Macaca mulatta: one gene and its partners. The protein of the gene in region 2 purifies or fractionates together with the protein of the main gene of each other region. This does not show direct contact. Links are inferred from orthologs where the notes say so. Each region holds a gene or a part of one and is shown on either strand. Other genes may lie near its edges.

Evidence for each region.
Region 1: the proteins of LRIG1 (region 2) and ERBB2 purify together in Homo sapiens (co-immunoprecipitation; 4 studies listed by BioGRID and IntAct, with this or other methods). This does not show direct contact. The link is inferred for Macaca mulatta from reciprocal best matches to the Homo sapiens genes LRIG1 and ERBB2.
Region 3: the proteins of LRIG1 (region 2) and ERBB4 purify together in Homo sapiens (affinity purification with western blotting; 3 studies listed by BioGRID and IntAct, with this or other methods). This does not show direct contact. The link is inferred for Macaca mulatta from reciprocal best matches to the Homo sapiens genes LRIG1 and ERBB4.

What each region holds. Positions count from the first base shown.
Region 1 is NC_133421.1:64,059,990-64,063,507, reverse strand, and holds part of ERBB2 (receptor tyrosine-protein kinase erbB-2), read right to left. Parts: intron 2,926-3,518; coding exon 2,774-2,925; exon of another isoform or gene 2,711-2,773; intron 1,593-2,710; coding exon 1,379-1,592; intron 695-1,378; coding exon of another isoform or gene 620-694; coding exon 485-619; intron 128-484; coding exon 59-127; intron 1-58. UniProt on the Homo sapiens protein: Protein tyrosine kinase that is part of several cell surface receptor complexes, but that apparently needs a coreceptor for ligand binding. Essential component of a neuregulin-receptor complex, although neuregulins do not interact with it alone.
Region 2 is NC_133407.1:130,049,192-130,053,267, forward strand, and holds the start of LRIG1 (leucine-rich repeats and immunoglobulin-like domains protein 1), read right to left. Parts: upstream 2,810-4,076; 5' UTR 2,207-2,809; coding exon 1,989-2,206; intron 1-1,988. UniProt on the Homo sapiens protein: Acts as a feedback negative regulator of signaling by receptor tyrosine kinases, through a mechanism that involves enhancement of receptor ubiquitination and accelerated intracellular degradation.
Region 3 is NC_133417.1:117,705,181-117,709,313, reverse strand, and holds the start of ERBB4 (receptor tyrosine-protein kinase erbB-4), read left to right. Parts: upstream 1-1,333; 5' UTR 1,334-1,973; coding exon 1,974-2,055; intron 2,056-4,133. UniProt on the Homo sapiens protein: Tyrosine-protein kinase that plays an essential role as cell surface receptor for neuregulins and EGF family members and regulates development of the heart, the central nervous system and the mammary gland, gene transcription, cell proliferation, differentiation, migration and apoptosis.

The DNA of each region.
Region 1 (3,518 bases), on a different chromosome or scaffold from region 2:
CACCCAGCCCCGGTCCTGGCCCTCCCCTTCCCTGACTCCAGGCCTCCCTGAGACTCACGGCTCTGACAATCCTCAGAACTCTCTCCCCAGCAGCGGGAGCCCTTACACACTGGAGAACAGGGGTGGCCTGAGGACAGAACCAGGGAGAGGCAGTGAGAGAGATGTCTAACAGTGAGAGGACGGGTTAATAACGGAGAGAGACACAAACAGCAGCAGAGGCCACGAGGCCAACTGCACAGTGAAGGAGGGACCCAGACAGGCTGAGAGGCCCCCAAACCATAGGCACAGCCTAGAAGCAGAGGAAGACAGGACAGAGAACCCCAGAGATGAAGAGGCACAGAGAGATGGCAGGAGGGACAGAGAGGGAGGAAATGGGTGTAGGCGGCTGGGGCAGTGGCGGGCAGGCACTGGGTTGTAAGTCGGGAGTCTGGGGCTGGGGTCAGGCTGTCTGAGAGAAGAGGCAGCAGGGAGGGGCATGGCTTACAGGCCCGAGAGCGGTTGGTGTCGATCAGTGTGAGAGCCAGCTGGTTGTTCTTATGGAAGATGTCCTTCCACAAAATCGTGTCCTGGTAGCAGAGCTGGGGGTTCCGCTGGATCAAGACCCCTCCTTTCAAGATCTCTGTGGGGTGAGCAATGATCAGGGGACCCTTTCCCCTTCTGTCACCTTCTGCTTCCCTTGGGGCCCTCCTGCCTTCTAAAAGAGGAGCAGGCCTTTTATACAACCCCAGATTCCCCAGGGAGGAGAGAAAGATATCGTCACCGTCTTTGAGCCCCACCACCACCACCCCCGCAACATGAACAAAGCGAGAGCCAGGGAGGAGTGAGTTGTCCATGCTACGTCCAGATGCTCACGTGGACCGCAGCTTTCTCCTTCCCTCTCACCTCTACTCCGGACGTGTTGCTTGGTGGTTAAGAGACCGTGGAGTCTGAAACCCAGCCCCATCACTCACATCTCTGCAAGCCTCAGTTTTCTCATACGTAAAATGAGAATAACACTGATTCTTTCCTGACAGGACTGCAGTGTGACTGAAATGGGCCATGCGGGCAAAGCACCTGGCACCCAGACTCTGGGGCAGAGTCAGCTCCAGGGCCAGCAAACAGTTACATAGGCTGTTCACTGTACACTTCACTCAGCCAAGTGGGGGCAAAAACCCAGCCTGCATTCTCATGATTGAATTCTGTGCGCTGACGTAAGCTGCAGCTTCCTAGGAAGAAGGGGAATCTTTTTCCAGTCTTCTCAGGGTGTCTTCCCAGGCTCTGCCTGCGTCTGCCCAGAAGGGACACCATTTCTAATGCACACAAAGCCTCCCCATGGTTAGCAGTGGCCCTGGTCAGCTCTGAATAACCAAGAGAAGGTTTCAATGACGGCGAAGGCCACCTGTGAGGCTTCGAAGCTGCAGCTCCCGCAGGCCTCCTGGGGAGGCCCCTGTGACAGGGGTGGTATTGTTCAGCGGGTCTCCATTGTCTAGCACGGCCAGGGCATAGTTGTCCTCAAAGAGCTGGGTGCCTCGCACAATCCGCAGCCTCTGCAGTGGGACCTGCCTCACTTGGTTGTGAGCGATGAGCACGTAGCCCTGCACCTCCTGGATATCCTGGAAGGGGGAAGCAGGGTGGGGCTGAAACAGGGACACTGCCACCCCCAGGGCCTCCCTGAGGTTCCCCAGTACTTGGAGATCTTGGGCAAGGCCCCCAGCCACTGAGCAGTCCTGTTCCCTCTTATATAAAACGATAAAATGGAGATAAAGATCACGCCCCACCTTGCCTCACCAGATTCTTATACGATCAAGAAAGATAATGGTGGGGGGGCACTTCGTAAACTCTGAACAGGTACCCCGCCCTCTCTGCATCTCAGTTTCTTCATCAGTGAAAGCAAAGGCCTGGATGGGATGGCGTCTGCAATTTTTTTTTTTTTTTTTTTGAGACGGAGTTTTGCTCTTGTTGCCCAGGCTGGAGTACAATGGCATGATCTCGGCTCACTGCAACCTCCGCCTCCCAGGTTCAAGCGATTCTCCTGCCTCAGCCTTCCCAAGTAGCTGGAATTATAGGCATGTGCTACCACTCCCAGCTAATTTTATATTTTTATTAGAGACGGGGTTTCTCCATGTTGGTCAGGCTGGTGTCGAACTCCCGACCTCAGGTGATCTGTCCACCTCAGCCTCCCAAAGTGCTGGGATTACAGGCGTGAGCCACCGTGCTCAGCCGGCGTCTGCAATTTGACAAACCAAGCACATGGCCCCACTCCAGGGTCCGTGGACACGACCCAGCAGGTTGGTTTCCACTCTCTCCTGCTCATAATCTTTTCATAGACATTTCTCTTTTGAGCTTCACAATTGCTCCCAATATACAGATAGGGAAACTGAGACCCCGTGAAGCTAAGGGGGTGTAGGCCACATTCATAGGGCTCATCAGTGGCAGAACTGGGCCTGTAATCCACCTTTCTCACCAGCCCTTTCTGCTGCTGTAGATGGGAGAAGGATAGTGGCTGGGGCAGGTGGACGGGGGACATGATCATGCTGGCAAGAGAGCACAAGATTTAGCGGAAACACAGACGCATCCCATCCAGAGATGACCTCGGCCAGCCACATTAGAGAGAGAGTCAACTGATTCTGCAGTAAAATGAATGGGGGTTAGACGTTAGAAAGGACTTCCTGGTTGAGAAACCACAACAAAAGAGGAAACAAAGGGCAGGGCACCTTCTTCTGCCACCCACCTGTAAACAGAGGGCTCAGCCCAGCTGGAGGCAGGGCCTGGCTGGGTTGCCCACGGGCCTCACCTGCAGGAAGGAGAGGCTGGCATTGGTGGGCAGGTAGGTGAGTTCCAGGTTACCCTGCACCACCTGGCAGCCCTGGTAGAGGTGGCGGAGCATGTCCAGGTGGGTCTCGGGACTGGCAGGGAGCCGCAGCTTCATGTCTGTGCCGGTGCACACTGGCAGGAGGGAGCAGATGGGTCAGAGGACACGGGCGGGGGACCTTCTTGGACCTGGCCTCCCCACCCAAACTCACTCCCAGAGTCATTTCATCTCAGACAGGGAGAAGGCTGACTGAAGGACCCCTCCGCCGACATCCCTTGCACACTGCAGGTTTAACAGCAGGAGAAAGCTTGTGTGCTTGGGAAGTAGAGGGATTTCAGGGGAAAGGCTCCTTCTGACTAGGCCCACCCTGTGCATCCAGAGGCTGCCCCAGCGTGCCAGCCCTGTGGAGCTCACCCGCCAGTACAGGGTGTTGGCTGGCAAAGAAAGGCTTCCTTTGTCCCAAAGGCACAACTCAGGGCCAAGGGGTAAAAATCCCCCAAGAGAGGCGATGACGAATCCTGAATCTTCTGGATGCCCCCTGCCCCTCTCCCAAGCAAACAAACTCGGTGCATTCTCCCTATGCCATTCCAGCACACCCATGTGCCAACCTCTTGGCAAGGGATCCACACCCCCGCAGTGCCACCCAGAGAGTGGGGAAGGAGGGTCAGCTGGAGTTGTAGCTGGGGCATGGGGCAACCGGGGCCCTGGTCATTGCAGAGACCTCTGG
Region 2 (4,076 bases):
TTAAAATCGAATCAGTCAACACCATAATCAGTATACTAAAGTCTACTGATGCTCAAAATACCCACTTTGGTATTTATCAGTCATCAAATGTGTGAGTAAAAGAGAAGAACTTCAATTTTGAAGGTATTTATGCCATGTGAAATGTCACTCCTGGGCAACAGAAAGCCTAAAGAAATAACCAGTATGTTTGCTCCAAAAATTAAAGGGCAAGGCAAAGTGGATCTTGTGACCATAGGAAAGTGCAAATAAGAGGACACCCTGTCCTCTCTGGGAAGTTACTGCTGTGGAACTAAATGCCTTCCCCACAATGCCACTGACACATGGCATTGGGAGTCACTCTTCCAACAGGTGAACACTTAAGAAGTTAATCTGATTCTGCCCACATGACTCAATTAAAAAAAAAACTACCGTATATAAGGGAAAAATCACAATACCCCAGACTAAATAAGATACTACCTAAGGACAATACTGGGCTCTATCTAACAGTACTTAACACAGCTGTGCCTCCACCCTACGATCACTGATTTTCACTAACTCAGTAAATTCCATAGAAGAAGTAGATATTGAAAATCTAACTGTAACTAAAGGGTCCTGGTCGTCTTCAGAACTCTGTAGTACTTGTTGATGGAGCAGTGTCTGGGGCCAAGTTAAAGATTCGTGCCCCATTTTGAGAGGTACAGAATCTTTGCATTTAAAAGGAATTAACTTTTCTTCCCTTCAGAACCCAGGCCACATTTTCTTCAATCAAGCCACAGGTGCTGGTTACAACTTGTGACACCAGTTTTCTCTTTTTAAAACAGCCATAGTCATGCCTGAGGTTACTGCTGTGCCTTTCCTATGTTCTAGGAAAAATGTCCAATTATTCAACCGAAATGCGGACTATTTAAGCTAGGCCTTTTCTGGAAAGGTACTAATAGTTCTACAGAGATGCTAATTACCGATAACTGAACAGGATTAGACTCATGGACCAGATTTTTTTTAGAAGTAAAAGAAGGCTATTCTATTCTACCATGTTTACAGAAGGCTAATGCCTTTTTTTCCTGCCAAATCTCCTGTAAGAAGTGTCCCACTAAGTCCTAAATATGCCCACATCCTGACAGCACAGAAAAGAGCCTCTTTCGGGTGAAACAAATTGCTTAAATCAGCCAAGACCCCGGCACCCTCTCCTGAAGCAGCATTACTCCAAAACTCATTTGCACCATTTATGGAGGAGAGACTCTTGAGGGTGGGCCCCACCCCACTGGATCAGCAAGTCCAATGGGGCCCCAGGGAACACACAGGAAGGGTCTGGAACACAGTTCCGTATGCCAACCAGGCGGAAAAGGACAAACTCCCAGCACTCACAGGTCGCCAGGAACTGTCAAAGCCCTCTAACTCAGGGGTCCTCGGGGAAAGACTGCCTTCTGCCCCGCAGAGAGGCAAGTCAGGCCACCATGGTCTTTGGGGATCAGGAGACGGCTACACACACTATCAACTAATAAATAATGTAACCGAAAGATTGGAGCCAAAAGTCACCTTCATTCATTACCCACTGGAAAACCAAGGAGCTCAGACACCAAAGAGTTGGATTACAGGAGAGGAAAAGGAAACGCACCCACAGACCCCCACACAGACTTCTTCACACTCTGCTCCAGACGTTTCCCACCCACCCACACGCAAACACACTCAGCTCCAGACTCCCACTCGCTAACTCCCACACGGCCCGCACGACGCGTGCTGGCTAACCCCCAAACCTCTACGACCCACGCTCGCTCGTCTCCAGACCTCACCAGGAATGCTCTTCTCCTCCAGGCTCTCTCGCACGCCTACTCCCCCGGACCTCCACGCAGGGTCTCCCCTCCGCCAACCCAAGCTGACAGTCTTCCAGCACGCACAACTCCATACATACAACCCAGTCCACACCCCCTCCCTGAGTACGAACCCCCGCCGCCCCGTCCCCGAGTGACAGAGCCCCGGGGTGCAAGGAGGGCAGAAAGGGCGGCACTCACAGGCTCCGCGTCCAGGCGGGCAGGTCCCCGGGCAGCGCCGCCAGCCCGCGCCCACCGCAGTCCACCGAGTCCCCAGCGCAAGTGCAGGCGGCCGCGCAGGGCGCCCGCGGGCCGGCCGCGGCGGTCGCCGGCTCCAGCCGAAGCAGCAGCAGCCAGGGAAGGAGAAGGCAAGGCGAGCGGCGCGGGGCCCCGAGCGCTCCCCGGACCGGGCGCGCCATCTTGTCTGGAGCGCGCTGCGAACTCCGGGCGCGGGGACTGTGAGGACCCGAACGGCCGCAGACGCGGGCGGGCCCGCGGGGCGCTCCGCTAGGCTCTAGACTCCGCGCCGGGGCATGGCCCCCGCCCCAAGTTCTCTCTGAGGCCGCGGCTCCGGCACTCAGCGGGCCCCCGGTGCCCGGGCCGCTCCGCAGCACCCGGCGGGGGCCGCAAACCCCGCGCCCATCCGGGCCGGCCGGCCCGCCCGCGCTCGCTGCGAACTCTGCCGATTCGGGCAGGGCGTACCCAGGCTGCGCTCCTCGTCCGCCCGGCGCACGCCGAGTGCCGCTACAGACACCGGCCGAGGGCAGTGCTGCCGCTGCGCCTGGAAGGCAGGCGTTCAGCCCCGCAGCCCGAGCTCGTTGCCGGCGGGCATCTTCCTCTCGGCTCAGAGCGCAAAGCCGTAGACCCCGGGCTGGACGGCGCGCGCTAGGAGGTCCCCGTGCGCCTCGCTGTCCGCGCGCCACGGGCAGAGGGCGAGCGCGCGCGCAGCCTTGGGTTCCGCACGGCTCCTCGGCGCAGCAAGAGTCCCGCCGACCTCGCGGCCGAACAATCAGCCGCTTGCTGCTTGCCTCCCCGCGGCCCAGCCCCGGCCAGTCCCCCAGGCCCCGCCCCCGGCCGCTCTCCCGCACACACCCCCTGGGCTCCGCACCCCGCGGCCGCCTGCCGGCCCACGTTGGACGCTTTGCAACAGCGCCCCGCCACGCCTCCCCGCCTGCTGCTCATTGGCTGCCGGAGTCCACCGTGGCCAGCCTCGAGAGCCATTGGAGCGCTCTTCGTGATCCTGCCCCTCCCGCTTTGCCGGCTACCCCGCCCCCACACTCTTTTCCCACCCAAGGTGTGAAGGGCGGGAGACTGGGAGGAGAAAGGGAGGGACGGCCCCCGCCTCTTAAAGGAGACATGCAGGTTGTTGTTGGAGAACAGGGACGTGGGCTGGGGAAAGGAGGCGTGAAGATATGCCCTCTGCGTCTAGAGGAGGAGAGAAAGTTAAGAGGGTAACGCCCCCGTTTTGGAGCTGTCTGGCCCCGAGGCTTTTTACGTCCTCCTCAGGCTGCAAGCAGGACTGCAGATTAGAAGCAAACCCGCGTCCATTTTCCAGGTGCTTTTCAAGAGCGAAGACACAGGTTTAAAACTTAACACACTTGTTCCTGACTGGGACATCCTTGGTTATTTAATGAGGCGTGGTCACCTTCCTCCTCGAACAGCCTGGAACATCTGCTCCTGACTTGCTCTTCGTGTCTTATATCCAGCAATAATGTCCTTGATTACCAAAATGAATGTGTGCTGCAGAAACCTAGTCTCAAAGGTGCACCCTCGGCTGGGAGTGGGGGCTCACGCCTGTAATCACAGCAGTTTGGGAGGCCAAGGAGGGCGGATCACCTGAGGTCAGGAATTCGAGACCAGCCTGGCCAACATGGTAAAACTACGTCTGTACTAAAAAAAGAAAAATACAAAAATTAGCCAGGTGTGGTGGTGCACGCCTGTAATCCCAGCTACGGGATGTTGAGACAGGAGAACCGCTTGAACCCCGGAGGCGGAGGCTGCAATGAGCAGAAACTTGTCACTGAATTGTTACTGAATTTCAGCCTGGGTGACAGAGCGAAACTCTGTCTCCAAAAAAAAAAAAAAAAAAAAGTGCACTCTCCTTCCCAGCCCTTAGTGAGTTGAAAGGTACTTCTAGAAAAGCTCTAGCCTTTGATTAAGGGGTTGCTTTGTTGTTGTTGTTGTTGTTGGGTTTTTGTTTTAATCAGTCTTTTTAAGATGATTTTCAAGAAGCCATAGTGTACTCTTAAGGGACGGGGTTAAAGGAGAAAAAATAGTTACAAAGCTTCT
Region 3 (4,133 bases), on a different chromosome or scaffold from region 2:
AGGGAAAGCTTCAGGCTTCAGGCATCTGTATTTCCTATCTGTTCTCAGCTCCATGGAAATTCTTAAGGGATGGAGCTATAGATAAGAGAGTGGGAAATGGAGATCCAGGTCTCAAATGAAAGGCAGGGTGGTTTGATTTTTAAGCTCCCCTGATACTTTTTATTTATATATTTGCTGCTTCTAGAAAAACCAAAAAAGGAAAGTGATTCATACATAGAATGCCTGTACAAATAGTAACTAATAACTTACTACCCCCAGGAGATTCTGGTCCTTGCCAGGGTGCGGTTTCAGAGCTGTAAAAGGCAAGGGATATGAACATTGATATGACCCAGTCCCAGAATATTTTAGATTCAGAAAAGGTCAGAGATTTTCATAACTAGCAATGACCTCCGGATTAGGGACCATGAATGTGCAGAGTGAGGACAAGGAAAGGGCCTAAAGCTGGGTCTACTGTAGAAGAAGCAGAATCATTTAAGGTTAATTATGTTCTGATGTGGCCTCCTTAAATACTTTCAGGTTGAGACAATTTCTAGCCCTTTAAGATTAAATCAGTGGCTTTGGACTAGAATCTGCTTAATAAGAATGAACTCCAAAGGTGAAAAAAACATAAAATCTAAAAATCAAAGGGTATGGCTTTATAAATGTGAAATTTTAGTTTGGCTCAATGTCGGTCAGTTTGGAAATGTGGGAATAACCGGAGAGATGGCATAACTGGGGGCGGGAGGCGGGGCGGTGATTATATCCCTACCACCACCTAATCCTCAGGGGCTACTAGTTACTTACTGTGCACACTTTTAAAGTACTTTCTAATTGTGGACCATGAGTGGCAGAGTGCTGCGGGCGGAGGCTTTTTGCTGAAAGCAACGTTGACTTTTCTTTTATTTCTAGGGAAAGTCCTGTCTGTAGATAAGCACCGTGGGACAATGGAGAAAATGCTGACTTGTTTTTTTAAAAAATCTTTTCTGTAAGCGCCCCTCCGATGGTCTGTCCACTCTGCGGGCCAGCTGTCCCAGGCCTCTGCCAGGGAGGGAAGAGGAGTGCTTCAGTGCATGGCTTCGGTGAGCCCTTTAAATCCAGCTTCCCCTGCCCCCACCAAGCTGCTCCCTCTCCCTGACAGGTGTTTTCCCAACTCCGGAGGCCTAGGATTTTGGGGAGTGGCTGAGCCAATGAGATTTCCCTTTGGGGCGGGGGGCGGGGGAGAAGGGCGTGGCTAGTTGGGTCAGAGCATGGGCGGGGTTTGCGCGGCTGAGCAGAGCCTGCCTGGTTGCGTGGAGGGTTGTTTTATTCCCACCGCCCCCCCCACCTTTTTTTTTTCTTTTTTTTTTTTTTTTCTGGAGTCTTATTAATTTCTCTGTGGGCTGCAGCTGGAGACCGCGGAGCGTTGGAAATGACGCTCGGAGCTTTAATTACCGCAGCCGCCGGACAAGTGTGAGGAAAGCTGACAGGAAAAAGAAGGACGGGATCCGGGGAGAAGCGAGAAGCTCCCCCCGCCCCGCTCCCCTCCCCATTTGGACTGGAGGTGCAAGGAAACTGAAGAAGGAGCAGAACACAGCCCGGCTGCGGGGAGAGGCCGGAAACCTACTGCCTCTTTGCAATCAACTTTTTTTGGAAACCTTTCGCCCCCCTTCCTTTTTTATTGTTGACCAACCAGTGAGAGAGAGAGAAAGTGAGGAGGCAGCGAGCAAGCGAAGGCTCACGCGGGGAAATAACTGCACAGTTCGGCCCGGACCGCCACGCGCACACACCGAGCACACTCCAACACACGCACACTCGCCCCCTCTTCGGGCCCCGGCCCTGGACCCGCGGGCGCGGACTAGGTCGCCCGCCCTGGGAGTCGCTACACCGCGCGCGCCGCGCCCGCCCCCCTCGCGCCCCCACGCGCGCCCGGCTGGGGGATCTCCTCCGCGTGCCCGAAAGGGGGATATGCCATTTGGACATGTAATTGTCAGCACGGGATCTGAGACTTCCAAAAAATGAAGCCGGCGACAGGACTTTGGGTCTGGGTGAGCCTTCTCGTGGCGGCGGGGACCGTCCAGCCCAGCGATTCTCAGTCAGGTGGGTTCCTTCTGGCGCTCCGGTCGCCTAACCTGCCGCCGCCGGCGGGGCTGCCTTGAGTGGCTCCCCCGCCCTCTTCACCCATCCCGGGAGGCGTGGAGGGACCGCTCGACCGGGACTTCTTCCCTGGGCTCTCGGTCGCCCCTCTTTCCATTTGAAACTTACCCTGTATGTGTGCCTGTGCTTTATCGTGAAGAAATCACTCTGAGCCCCTCTTTTTTCTCTCCTTAACCCCCTGTTTTTCTTTCCCGAGCGTTTTGTGTGGGAGCCTAAGCGGGATCCCTTCTGGTGGCGCCTGTTGTTCGGGACATGGGAGACCCAAATCCCCAGTCAGAGGAGACTCTCCTGTCCCTGTCTGGTCCCTCGAGGGAGGAACCCTCACCGCCGGGGCCGCGGAGGGCCGGGGTCCTGGGGAGGTGCTGGCTGGGCCTCTCCCGCGCCAAGCCTGAAGGGCGGTGGAGAGTGGCGCTCAGAGACCCGGGCTTTGCACCTGTGTGTGCTGCCGGCGGCCGCTGCGCCCCCAGTCGCCCAAGCCTTGTGGGGTCAGACGCGACTCGTACCCAGCCCGGGCAGCAAGAGTGCAGCGGGCGGGCGCGCCTCGGTCCGGGGTCTGGAGCTCTGGGCCTCTTCGGCCTGCTTCCCGGAGCCCTCGCCCCATTGACTTGAGGGGCGCTTGCTCGCCTGCATGACCTCTTAAAAAAAAAAAAAAAAGGCTTGGCACACTCGAGCCAGAAGCCGGGCCTTCCCGTCGGTTGCCGTGTTTGGCTCCTGGAAGAGTTCTTCCTGTAGTTCAACTTGCTATTGGCCGGAGTCCTTCAAACTTGTCTGTTTACTGCCTGGCCGGGCTGCCGAGCCTGCGGGTCACTGGATCCACCCGAGGCGCAAGCGGCGGCGGCGGGTGCGCGGCCACTGCTTGCTGGAGAGCTCGAGCCCCAGGTACCTGGGCAGGCAAAGGGCTAATTGACCCCGAGAGGCAGCGCGGCGGGGTTGGAGCGCCAAGGCTTGCAGGACTAATGACAGCACCTGCAGTGCAAGGAAGCTCAAAGTTTCTGACACTTGAGTTTCCTGGGGATGAAAGTGGGACGGGAGAGGTCTGAGGAGGACCGGTGTCTGATGCGGCCAAGGGGTGCCTTTTGGAGAGCCAGGGAGATTTCTGAAACCATTCGGGGATGGTGACTGGAGCGTGGGAAGTAGCTTGAGGTGATAAAGCCCCCGGGAGTGGCGATAGGGAGCGCTTTAGGCCCCCGGAGGGTGTCCTTCTGACCTCACCAAGGAAACAGCAAGCTGTAGTTTTCCCGCTCCGCCCCCGCCGCCGCCGCCTCCTTTGCCTAGTAAACAACAAGTTACAATCATCGAGGCTTTCAAAATGACCTTCGAATGGCACATGTGCGGCGTTTTGTGCTGGCTGTTTGCACCCTCCCAATTACTCCGAAATTCTTCACGCATACCAGGTCCCGCGCTCCAGCCACCCCCGGAATCACACCAACACGGACTTGACATTCCAAGCGGCCTCTTAGATACATCTCTTTTTATCTCCCTCCCCACTTCGAGTCCCTTCATATTTTCCCTCAATGGGTTGATTATACACATTGACCCATTCAAAGGCAGTGGCGACCGACATGCAGGCTTAGCCGAGAGGAATTTCTACGAGGCGACCTACTGGGGGCTGGCTGGTTCAGCCTCTGCCGCTGAGGGACCCCGCTCCGAGTCCGCAGCAATTTGGTATTAACTGTGCGGCTCCGGGTTGAGCTATGCCGAAAAGCCCTTTTCAGAATTTCTGCAAGGAATGTAATCCAAATTAGTTCTGCAGCTGTCCTCTTCCTCGTCTCAGGCGACACCAGCTCGCGCCCTCGCTCATCTCTTCTCGTTTCGTTGGGCGAATTGTCAGACCCACAAGTGAGCCCATTTAGAGCGCGAGGATTAGCGTGCCATTGTTCCGTGTGTGACTCTGTACTTGAAATTCTGGGGGCACAAAGGCGAGTCTCACTTGTTCAAAACACAAAGTGATCCAGATGAAAGGGCCGTACAAAGAAAAACTCTCGGGTGCATCCCTGGTATAATTGCAACACGCATACTAA